Linked DNA regions of Xenopus tropicalis. The protein of the gene in region 2 interacts with the protein of the main gene of each other region in a pairwise test. Links are inferred from orthologs where the notes say so. Each region holds a gene or a part of one and is shown on either strand. Other genes may lie near its edges. The genes, in order: hnrnpr, prmt1 and speg.

The links.
Region 1: the proteins of prmt1 (region 2) and hnrnpr interact in binary tests that used the Homo sapiens proteins (3 or more experiments, as listed by UniProt). The link is inferred for Xenopus tropicalis from reciprocal best matches to the Homo sapiens genes PRMT1 and HNRNPR.
Region 3: the proteins of prmt1 (region 2) and speg interact in binary tests that used the Homo sapiens proteins (3 or more experiments, as listed by UniProt). The two-hybrid records come from large-scale screens. The link is inferred for Xenopus tropicalis from reciprocal best matches to the Homo sapiens genes PRMT1 and SPEG.

Annotation. Positions count from the first base shown.
Region 1 is NC_030678.2:82,754,698-82,759,024, forward strand, and holds the end of hnrnpr (heterogeneous nuclear ribonucleoprotein R), read right to left. Parts: intron 4,023-4,327; coding exon 3,901-4,022; intron 3,134-3,900; coding exon 2,521-3,133; 3' UTR 652-2,520; downstream 1-651. UniProt on the Homo sapiens protein: Component of ribonucleosomes, which are complexes of at least 20 other different heterogeneous nuclear ribonucleoproteins (hnRNP). hnRNP play an important role in processing of precursor mRNA in the nucleus.
Region 2 is NC_030683.2:111,004,535-111,008,951, reverse strand, and holds the start of prmt1 (protein arginine N-methyltransferase 1), read right to left. Parts: upstream 2,929-4,417; 5' UTR 2,780-2,928; coding exon 2,750-2,779; intron 637-2,749; coding exon of another isoform or gene 583-636; intron 1-582. UniProt on the Homo sapiens protein: Arginine methyltransferase that methylates (mono and asymmetric dimethylation) the guanidino nitrogens of arginyl residues present in proteins such as ESR1, histone H2, H3 and H4, FMR1, ILF3, HNRNPA1, HNRNPD, NFATC2IP, SUPT5H, TAF15, EWS, HABP4, SERBP1, RBM15, FOXO1, CHTOP, MAP3K5/ASK1, MICU1 and NPRL2.
Region 3 is NC_030685.2:83,596,454-83,599,625, reverse strand, and holds part of speg (striated muscle preferentially expressed protein kinase), read left to right. Parts: coding exon 1-118; intron 119-497; coding exon 498-573; intron 574-1,957; coding exon 1,958-2,107; intron 2,108-2,964; coding exon 2,965-3,172.

The DNA.
Region 1 (4,327 bases), on a different chromosome or scaffold from region 2:
CAAATCCATTCAAAAACACAATTAATGTATAAAATATCTAAACACAGGCTTTAAAATTAATTTTTGTATTTTGTCACCATAAAGTTTTAATGGATGGCAAACCTCTTCACAAAATCAAACTGGTAAACAAGTTCAATTTCACACAAGGCTCATTTTGCCTGAAGCAAATGATTTGTATGCAGTTGTTAAAAACATTAAAATGATTAGCTTTAGCTTTTTGCCCCCTGGAGCACAGAAGAAATTAGTCACGAAAATTTTAAAACGACAAATAGTTATTTATTGGCACTTGACATTTTAGGATTTGCTTTTTCCTATTTTTAATACTAGAATGGACACTAGAATCCAGAATCTAGTTGTGACATTTAGAGCAATGACATTCATTTGTCATCCAAGGGAGTTAAGTCTTTCCTGCAGCAAAAAAAAATGTCTGACAATACCCTGTAATGCAGAAGAATGGGGACCACTGTAAGTATATTTTGCAAGCAAAAACTCAGCTTAATCATGGCTTAATAAACATATGTAAAGTGTTTTACAAGGTATTTCCGGACGCTTTATCAACCACAGGAGGAGACACCCTTCTGTGGGCAACAAGCCACTATTGTTGCCTTAAGAATTAAATCCTGGTAATTTTGATCAAATTTTCTTCATGTTAATAGCTAAGAAAATGGTCATCTGCCAAAATCTTAGTATGTGATCATTATATAACAAACAAGGCAATGCTATGAAGATAGGGTGGCAAATAAAATATCCAAAGAAAAAAAGACGTTAGAACCAAACAAAAGGGGGGAAAGCAATCTTTCCATAAAAATGCTGGAAAGAAAAACAACTTTACTTATAGGTGTTAGAATTTTGTAGCAGAGAGTACGATTATATGTACCCTAAAAACTACTACTATTGAAGGTAGCTGAGCACTGTTGGAAACAGGCAGTCTAATGTGTTACTGGATGTAAGTGTGGAGAGATCATCTATATTCTGTAAGCCACACCTTGATACCTTACAATAACTGCTCTACCAGCCTCGCTGATGCATATTGACAGCAAAAGTAACCATATTTTGGTTTTTTAGTGGATACTAGTATACAAACCTTAAGAGGGTTTTATGAGCCAGTTTGTTTTTAACAGAAATTATCAAGAAATGTAGAATTTTTGTCTTCTAAAGTCTGTATATAGTGTAGTCTGGTCTTCTAGACCATTAAAACCATTATTTGTTTTGTGGGTGTGCACAGGGAAAATTCAAAACAGAAAAATTATCAGATTAATCAAACATAAATTACTGGAAAAGCCCATTCTCAATCAATATGTAGATTGAGGTCATATGCATATATGTATATAAAATGTATACAATTTCATCTTTTGCCTTCAAACCACCTAAGAAAATGCACATCAAGATCAAGATAATTTGGCAACCAAGTGTATTTAATTGATTTTACAAATTATTAATTTAAAACCCACTTTCATAGCTTTATATCATGGATTAAGTTTGTAGTTTACAGATTTGATCACTCACATATGCAGTTCAGTCTTTTGGAAGTTTTTGTTGCAAGAATCACAACTCAGTTTTTGCATTTTTGTTTTTTTTGTTTTTTAATGATTCTTTTAACTTCATATATATGTATATTTAGAATTTTTTTGCAATAGGATTTTGTGGAGTTTTATTGAAATTGTACATGAACAATAAATTTGTAAATACAGTCACAGAACAAACGGTCAAGGCTTTTGTTACCCAAGCCAAACTTGTTAGGCATATTTTTTGCCTTCATAAAAAAAAATTAAATAAACACAACTTCACCTAGTTCTAGGAATCCAAAATGCACAGTCATTTAATACATGAATCTTTAAAATATTTTTTTAATTTTTTTTTTTTTTTTTTTTTACTTAAGACAGCACTAGTGTTATATACAGCTTAATCCTGTAGAAGATACTCCAAATCCAAGGGGAAATTGTCAATACTGCATCCTGTCAAAATCATGATTGAACATTGTCCAACAGCATTAAAACCCCTCACATAATAATAAAAAAAAAAGTTTAAAAACCACTAAAAACACTGGTAATCCTTAGTATTCTTGAACTGGGGAGGGGTTGTAACCAATTATTTTAAACAAAATGACTTAATAGCACAAAAAACATTGCAGTCCATGTATAGAAGACAATGCCACAAAGTTACTTCTCTAAATATAAGCAGACAAAAACTTTCTGCACAGGGGTGGAATGGGAAAGAAAAGCCCAAATACAGGATACATGCTCTAGTTAACTGCTGACTTATGCCCATAATACTCTCCAAATCCCCATATCCAGAACACAAGGTTCAGCAATACTTAAAATACCATAACTCTACCAGTGCATTCCATTTGAATACCAACTGTAACAGAGCAATAAAGCAAAAACTAAGGTATATACAGCTTAATGATGAAACACTGCCAATAAAATTAGAGGCAGAGTTCCCAAAGCACAAATATATATATATGAAATATATATTTAAGAGTGGGTGTATGTGTGTTTTGTCTGAAGAATATGACCTTGCCTATTTCCACTGCTGCCCATAAGTATCCTGATAAAACTCCTGGTTGTCATTACTGTAACCATAGTTACCAGTATAATCACCACCTTGCTGCAATGGCTGCTGGGCGATAGGCTGGGTCCCCCAGTTCTGTTGGTTGTTGGTCTGGCGGCGCTTTGAGTCTGGCTGGGTATAACCATCTGCCTTTCTTTTACCACCAACGTTCCCACCTCTGCTGCCACGGCTGCCCCTTGAGTTTCGCCCTCGTGGCTGTTGCTGAGCGGGTCCTCCACGTCCACCACGGGATCCGCGAGGAGGGCCCATTGGAGAACCTCTAGGGGCATAGCTGGAGCGCCCTCCACGCTGGGGAGGAACAGATCTACCTCTGGGGGGCGGTGGTCCACCCCTCCCACCTCTGCCTCCTCTTCCTCGCACAGGGTAGCCATCGTCATAGCCATAGTATGGATCATCATAACCCCCACGGTAGTCATGATAGTCGTATGCATAGTAATCATCATAGTAATCTTCATAGCCATAGTAATCTTGGGGAAAGGAATAGCCCCCTCTGCCTCCACGGCCCCTGCCCCTACCAGGAGGTGGCATTCGAGGTGGAGGGTAATAGTAATAATCGTCATACCTAATGAATGGGGGGGAAAAAAAAGTAGTATTAAAGCATTTTACAAATACATATTCATACCATTTTTAATATATTAACACATTTGAATTCTTATAAGGAGGCTGATTGAAAAAACCAAATGCTGCCTTATGCCCCAAGCAACCTGCCCAACTCAACAAGGGCCAGATGGGCTTATCGGTCATTTAACCCTTGGCCACTGAATGATTTCATCCTGGGAGTCTTGTGGTTTTCTATCCTAAATCAGATATTGTGACTAAATAAAGTCACAATCAGATATTCTTCAGGAAGGCAAAAGTTTTGACTCCATTCACAAGCCAACATGCTGCTAACTAAGCCAAATATGTCCATGTCACCCCCAATATCTGCCCAAGTACAGGCACAATAAAAATCAAAGTTAAGCCTTGGTAAATATAAGTTATAGGAGAAACAGAAAAAAACACAAAAATTAGGTTTAACTGCAGACAGATTGAAAACAATTCTACAAAAGCAAAGTAAAGGCACAAATGAAAATTACACAAGAATTTTTTAATACTGCTATTTGAAAAATCCAAACTGAAAAATTAGGCTCTAGCTTGAGTCTAACGAGATACATTGACATTTGTATTAAAATTATTACTAACAAAAACATAAAAAAAAAAAAACAACAAAAATTGGTGAACTAGCAGTTCATGCCAGCATGAATTTTATAGATTAGTTAAAACATCCAGAGCTTGACCTTTCAGTTGCTTCAGTTGACAATGTTTACTCAAAAATCTCAATATACTCACGAACTTCCCCGGGAAGCCTGACGTGCTGCTTGTCGTTCCTTCCTTTTTTTATCAGGTGGCTTAGCAAGAACTATTTCAATCTCTTCCCCCTCCAGTTCTGTTCCATTCATTTCATCCATGGCCTAAATAAGAAATTAAAAAAAAATTCAAAAAGAAAAAAGTACAAATGAATACTCAAAAGCATGTTCTAAAAGTGTATATAAACAAGAGGTTGGTGGACTAAAGAGTCTGAGGCAGATTTCTTAGCATTCTGATTTTCATAGTTTTTTTTAAACTTATTTCCACAAAACCCAGCTTTCTCAGTTCAACTGACTGGTACGAGAAGACCTCAGAATATAATTTATATGCCGAGGCACTTCCCATAATATTCAATTAAACTGAAGAAGCTCCTCATATGAGAAGTGAAATGTCTTCGGTCATTACAGCA
Region 2 (4,417 bases):
TTTCAAGCACTGCCAACAGCAATAGCAAGGGAAGTAGAAAAAAAAGTATTTTATGCAAGTGCCAGTGAGACCGCTCAAGTGGTGTCTCTAGCTGGGAAACATGGCAATCTTAAAAGTTACCTACTTTCACAACTGGTCTGAAACTTTATTCAGCACCCTGAAAAAAGTATAGGTATAAGTCACTTTTAAAAAGAGACGTAAAGGTAAAAATCACTAGGAGGTGTGACCACCAGTAATTCTACTCATGAAGCTGGTGCCCGAGTCCAGTAATCATGAATACAGGAGTATAGCCCCAACATTTTTATCCTATTTATGGTGCATCCCATGAGCAGCACAGCGAGTCCAAGATATACTGTACTACACATGTGCACTTGGGCAGAAAAGCATGGCGGCAGGGTGCTCAGAAACAAGCTTCCTGGGCACCAGCCTGTGCATGCAAGTTGGGATTTTTACCTTTACTTCTTTAATCAGGCTGTAACACCACTGCACCACAGTACCATGTAGTGAAATGGCATTTGTTACATGAACTCTAAAGCCAAGTTGGCCAAAACACAACTAGCCAAAAATTTAAAGGATATTTACATCTTCTATTGGAGTCCGCAGGCTCATTCCATTGGCCAACTTGGCTACAAAGTTCTAGAAAAAAGTAACATGGAAAAGTTCACAATGTAACTTGTTTTTAAGCTAGCCACAGGTCAAGCCAGCAACAGCCAAGCATCTAATTTCAGACAGCTTTAAAGGAAACATGTGAAAATTATGAAATACAGAAGGATTGTGCTAAAAAAAAAGTTGTGTCTTGGACTGATTGAAAGATTCCCCCAAAACCCTAATAGTCCTGCCCATCTGTTTCACTAGATGTGAAGGGGGGCTGGCAGCACTCTGTACACTGCACTGTAGGATAGGAACCAATCGGTTTCCCATCAGGTTGGCTGACCTGATAGGGAACTGAAGCCTTTGCTTGTGTGACTGCCGGACTGTGATTGCCTATTTCCCCATTACTGTACTTCTGGCAGGGATCTTAAGGACACGCCTACCCCTCATTTGAAGCACTGACAGGAACCTGAGGATCTATAGGGAGCTCCAATAAAAGTAAAGCCAGCCCCAAATATTCATAATTGCCTACAAAATCAGTTTTTTCTTCATTTAGCCAATGCCCCCTTTAAAGTTAACAGGTCAAAGGTTACAGAATCACTACTGCTAATCACCATCAGTAAGCCAATGGCCATCAGAGCTTAGGTCAAGCCCCTTAGTTTACAGCAAGTCTACAGATGCAACTTGTAAGGCTTATACAATCAAATATGTAGAACAGTTTCAGCCCCACACATCTTAACACCTTCAAAATGAAAATTTAAGTAAATCTAGGAAAGTAAATAGTCTGCCAAATCTTACCAAAATTAGCATTCAATATAAAAGCACCACCATAAAATAGATCAGAATATGGAGTTCCAGGACCTTTAATAATTGCACTCAGCCGGAGGTCTTGTATCTGGGTATCTGTGCATATGTATGTAACACAACCAATCTGGCAATTCCAGAGGAGCCGCTTTAAAATACCATAAACCGTAACTATTCAGTGGGCTACTGTACTTTAAATACCAAAACCTATTTTAAAACCCAGTCCAGAGCTACATACATGTATTCAATGGGGCTTTATATATAGTTTCTAAATTTGCCTTCTAACCGGTCCAGCTTTCAGATGTGGGTCTCAGATCCCAAGAATCTTTGCTCTATATGGCCACAATTGTATTACTTTTCACTGATTATCGTACTATTCAGACCTACAATTCATATCCCTGCCCTTTGTTCCAACCACTCCCTGGTTGCTAAGGCTAGTAGAACCCTACCAACCCAATAGCAGCTGGAATTCCAAACTGGAATGTTGAACAAATTGAAGTTAAAAGACCCAACAAAAGAGACCAATTGCAAATTCTCAGATTACACTCTACCTCATTCTGAGTAACTCAGGTGAACAAACCCTCTATAGCCCTTTACCCATCAACCCTCTAGCACAGTCCCAGAGAATCTACAAAAAGCGATCTAACACATGGTTGTGTCGAATAAAATAAATGAAGTTGGTTTAGGATCGACCCCCCCCCCCCACTGAGCAGGAGGAATGGCGGGACACTAGAATCTCATGTCTCACAAGAGACAAGGGGAGCCGTTAGCATGCGGCCATGGCCCACCCCATTACTGAGAGACTGCTCGATACAAGCCGGCAGGAAGAATGGCGAGCCGTGGGCAGTGGGAAGAGCGCGGCGTGGGACACACGTGTTCCGGCTCCAGCCAGGCCCGGCTTTGTGCTACCGGCATGTGGGCGGGGCTAGGGGCGGGGCATCGCCTGGGGAACACGTGGCCGCTGGCTTCTCAGCACGGACGCGCTACTTACGTCACGATATCTCCCCACGCGTGAAATTCCCCGCAGTGGACGCCCGTGTGCGAGGCTCCTAGCCGCCATTATACCACATCCCTTTAAAAAGGACGAGTCACTGCTGTACTACAGCATTATCGCCTCCCCGGCACCCTAGGGGTTCTGCAGAACCGCTCAACAGAGACCCAGGCCCTGCGGCGTTTAAGCCCTAAGTGAGCAAATTCCAGCCATTTAACGGGGCGGCCATGGGGCGATGTGCTAGTTCGCCGCCATTGAGAGCGTAGAGTGTTAAAGAGTTAAAAGGCCGCAGTGGCCTCACAAAGCGCTCGGCTATAGCGCACAGCCCACCCACTCCCCATAGCTCTTCTCTCGGCTAGTTACCTCCATGTTGCAGGTGCTCGCTTCAGCCATGTTTGTCAGTCTCTCTCACGAATCTAAAAAAGAAACTCAAAGCCACGCCACCGGCTTTGTACGAGAGAACTGCGACATGCGCTTCGGCCCCTTTGCCTTTTATATAGAGAAGCACAAGCCCCGCCCACACACGGCACCGCCCCGGCGTCCTTCGCGCGTTTTTTTCTACCCCTCAACAAGAGCAGATTGTGCCTTTCTTCGCGAAACTGATCCGCCCCCTCCCATCCCCGTACTCCCATTGGCCAGTTTCTATAAATCTTGGCCCACTCACTGGCAGAGGGCTCCGCCCGTCAGTTCGTTCGCTTGGCTGATTGGTGAGTTTGTTTAAAACGTAAAACATTGCGTAATAAAATGGAGTCTTTGTATGTTGAGCTAGCTTAATTTTAGTAGTTCGAGTTTCGGCCGAGCGGTACTGGAGTCACAATACTATTCTTGAAAAAATATTTTATTAGCCTGGGTTATATGACAGAAATCACACATATATCCTCCGAGGAAGAACTGGACTCAATATAAGCCTTATCAGTATAAAGTGAGCTGACAAATCTGTGCACACGACTCCATGCCTATGTTATTGTCCAATGTGTCCTCTCCAGTCATAAGATTCCATGAAAGCAGAAACCTGTAAAGTGCATCACATCTCTACTGTTTTGGTTGCTAATACTCTGAATTAAACAGATAGATATAAAATACTTTAGGGTAAAGTAAAGGCTTCCCAGAAATGTATGAATGTTTATTAAAAAACATAAACTTTCCAATATTTATAATGTAAAATATAATCTATATATTGGAAAGTTTTTTTTGTTAATAAACAAATGCATTTGTAGACTATTTGAAAGAAATTGCTTCCAGTGCCCTCAGCAGTATCAGCCTGACCCATTGGCAATACTGCAGGTAGTCACTAGCACATTGGTGATAAGGGTCATTAGTTGGTATTTGGTTTTAGCTAGTTATTTTTATCATAAACAGGTCTATATACTAAAACTAAATGCAAAGGTGAACATTCCCTTGAAATTAAGCCAAATAATAGGTTCCCAAACTGCAGAGTGCCATTGAGCCCTATGGGAGACTTTCCTTGGGCCAGGTTGGAGCTGCAGAGTGCCATTGAGCCCTATGGGAGACTTTCCTTGGGCCAGGTTGGAGCTGCAGAGTGCCATTGAGCCCTATGGGAGACTTTCCTTGGGCCGGGTTGGAGCTGCAGAGTGCCATTGAGCCCTATGGGAGACTTTCCTTGGGCCGGGTTGGAGCTGCAGAGTGCCATTGAGCCCTATGGGAGACTTTCCTTGGGCCGGGTTGGAGCTGCAGAGTGCCATTGAGCCCTATGGGAGACTTTCCTTGGGCCAGGTTGGAGCTGCAGAGTGCCATTGAGCCCTATGGGAGACATTCCTTGGGCCGGGTTGGAGCTGCAGAGTGCCATTGAGCCCTATGGGAGACATTCCTTGGGCCGGGTTGGAGCTGCAGAGTGCCATTGAGCCCTATGGGAGACTTTCCTTGGGCCGGGTTGGAGCTGCAGAGTGCCATTGAGCCCTATGGGAGACTTTCCTTGGGCCGGGTTGGAGCTGCAGAGTGCCATTGAGCCCTATGGGAGGCTTTCCTTGGGCCGGGTTGGAGCTGCAGTGTGCCATTGAGCCCTATGGGAGA
Region 3 (3,172 bases), on a different chromosome or scaffold from region 2:
AACGTCATTGTGTCCTACATGAACACTGTCAAGATCATCGATTTGGGGAGTGCCCAGAACTTTACACCGCTGGTCCTGCGACCCCTCGGCAAACGCATAGGGACCCTGGAATATATGTGTGCGTAGCCTTGGTGTCTTTGTGTCATGTGGATTCCCTATAGGTTCTTGACAGTTCCCTAGTTTCCTGTGTAGTTAATTCTTATTTGCGTTATTGGGCTGTGATTATTGTATTGGCCCAAAGGTATATAGTAAAGTAGCCAGTATAGTAGCCTATAAATGATTACAGTGAAAAATTGCCCAGTGTTTGGGGCCCTTTTGATGGCCCAAGTTTGGAAATGCCCTCAGGCGAGGATCACGCTGGTGATTGGTTTATAGGCCCACGTTAGGATCCAGTCATTGGCCCAGGGGCCAGACTCATACTGATTGGCCTGTCTGGTTGTCGTCTTCCTTTCTTGCACATTTCTTGTTGTTCCTAACCCTGTGCCTTTCATTTGCAGCCCCCGAAATGCTCAAAGGTGACGCAGTAGGCCCAGCAGCTGATATTTGGGGTGTAGGCGTTCTGACTTACATAATGTAAGTATTTGTTATCACAATTTCTATTAACTGCTTTTCTTACAAGCATAGTTACATAGTTACATAGGGTTGAAAAAAGACCTGTGTCCATCAAGTTCAACCCATCCAAGTAAACCCAGCACACCTAACCCACACCTACCAATCTATACACTCACATACATAAACTATAAATACAACCACTAGTACTAACTGTAGATATTAGTATCACAATAGCCTTGGATATTCTGATTGATCAAGAACTCATCCAGGCCCCTCTTAAAGGCATTAACAGAATCTGCCATTACCCCATCACTAGGAAGGGCATTCCACAGCCTCACTGCCCTCACCGTGAAAAACCACCTACGCTGCTTCAAATGGAAACTCCTTTCCTCTAATCTAAAGGGGTGACCTCTGGTGCGTTGATTGTTTTTATGGGAAAAAAGAACATCCCCCAACTGCCTATAATCCCCTCTAATGTACTTGTACAGAGTAATCATGTCCCCTCGCAAGCGCCTCTTTTCCAGAGAAAACAACCCCAACCTCGACAGTCTAACCTCATAGTTTAAATCTTCCATCCCCTTAACCAGTTTAGTTGCACGTCTCTGCACTCTCTCCAGCTCATTAATATCCTTCTTAAGGACTGGAGCCCAAAACTGCACTGCATACTCAAGGTGAGGCCTTACCAGGGACCTATAAAGGGGCAAAATTATGTTCTCATCCCTTGAGTCAATGCCCTTTTTTATACAAGACAGCACTTTATTTGCTGTAGTAGCCACAGAATGACACTGCCTGGAATTAGACAACTTGTTATCAACAAAAACCCCCAGATCCTTCTCCATTAAGGAAACCCCCAACACACTCCCATTCAGTAGATAGTTTGCGTTTATATTATTTCTACCAAAGTGCATAACTTTGCACTTATCAACATTGAACCTCATTTTCCAGTTTGCTGCCCAGTTATCTAATTTTGTCAAATCGCTCTGCAAAGCGGCAGCATCCTGCATGGAACTTATAGTTTTGCACAATTTAGTGTCATCAGCAGAAATAGAAACAGTACTGTCTATGCCCACCTCCAGGTCATTAATAAACAAGTTAAAAAGCAAAGGCCCAAGGACTGACCCCTGCGGTACTCCACTAACCACACTGGTCCAATTAGAAAATGTTCCATTTACAACCACTCTTTGTACTCTATCCTTCAGCCAGTTCTCTATCCAATTACAAATATTATGTTCTAGGCCAATATTCCTTAATTTGATCATTAACCTTCTGTGAGGTACTGTATCAAACGCTTTAGCAAAGTCCAAAGCAATGCTGCATCAGGACATATTGCTCCAGCTAATATATCAATTGTCTTTTAAACTGCTTCTTTCCCACAATTCTCCATTCTGTATTTCCCACGGTGCAGGCTCAGCGGCCGCTCTCCGTTCTTTGAGCTGGACCCCGTGGAAACCGAGAACAAGATCTTGTCGGGACGATTTGATATCTTTAAATTGTATTCCAACGCCTCCCAAAGTGCTTCCCTCTTCATTCGCAAGATCCTGACTATATATCCTTGGTTAGTAGCTGTGTGTGACTTTATTATTCTGAGTTGTGTTTGTGGCAAAGGCCCCTCTTATTGCTCCAATGCCCCAATCTCTGTGTGAAGATTTGATAGTCTTAGTCCCATATTAGATATTAAATATTTATATTATAGTAAGTACTCCTATAGGCTTTTTTGCTAACACACTCACATCAAGCAAAAGATATTTGTGAGTCCCCTGCTCGGCACTAAGAGAATTTCCACAGGTCTCTGTTCTCCATACAACGCACAGAACATTCTGTATAATGTCCAATATAAATAAATCTAAAGCAACTGGACTTGTTAAGTAATCATTGAAGACGTTTCACTACTCATCCGAGCAGCTTCTTCAGTTCAACTGGTATGGGAAGTTCTCAGCTTATGTATAAGTGGAGAAACCATCCCTAAACAGAGGTGGGGGACTTCGACACCATCTGTCTGCTACATACAATGCTGTTCTAACATCTGTACCCTGGCGTTTCAGAACTCTTCACACATCCATTCACTCTAAAAAGTTGCATGATACTTGAGAATCCTCTCAAAGTAACTCCACAGAATTCACACCTCTGTGAGTTTCAGATGTCACCTTTCTGAAGGGCCATTATGATTGGATTAGTGGGAGAGTACATATGCTGAGGGCTTCCCATCCCAGTCAGTTGAACTGAATAAGCTGCTCGGATGAGTAGTGATACATCTTCAATGATTACTTAACAAGTCCAGTTGCTTTAGATTTATTTATATTGGATATATCATGACCTGGATGAATGAAAATCTTCATAGTCATTCTGTATAATGGATTCCAAGTCCAACAGCTAAACACTGAACATACTTTTCCATTTATATTATTATTCCAGGAGCCGCCCATCACTTAAGGAATGTTTTTCCAATCCCTGGCTCCAGGATGCCTACCTAATGAAGCTTAGACGCCAAACCCTAACCTTCACCACTAACAAGCTCAAAGAGTTCCTCGTGGAGCAACAGAGGAGACGCGCAGACACAGCCACTAAGCACAAAGTCCTCCTTCGTTCGTACCACGGAAGCCAGCCCTCAGCTCCTGTCACT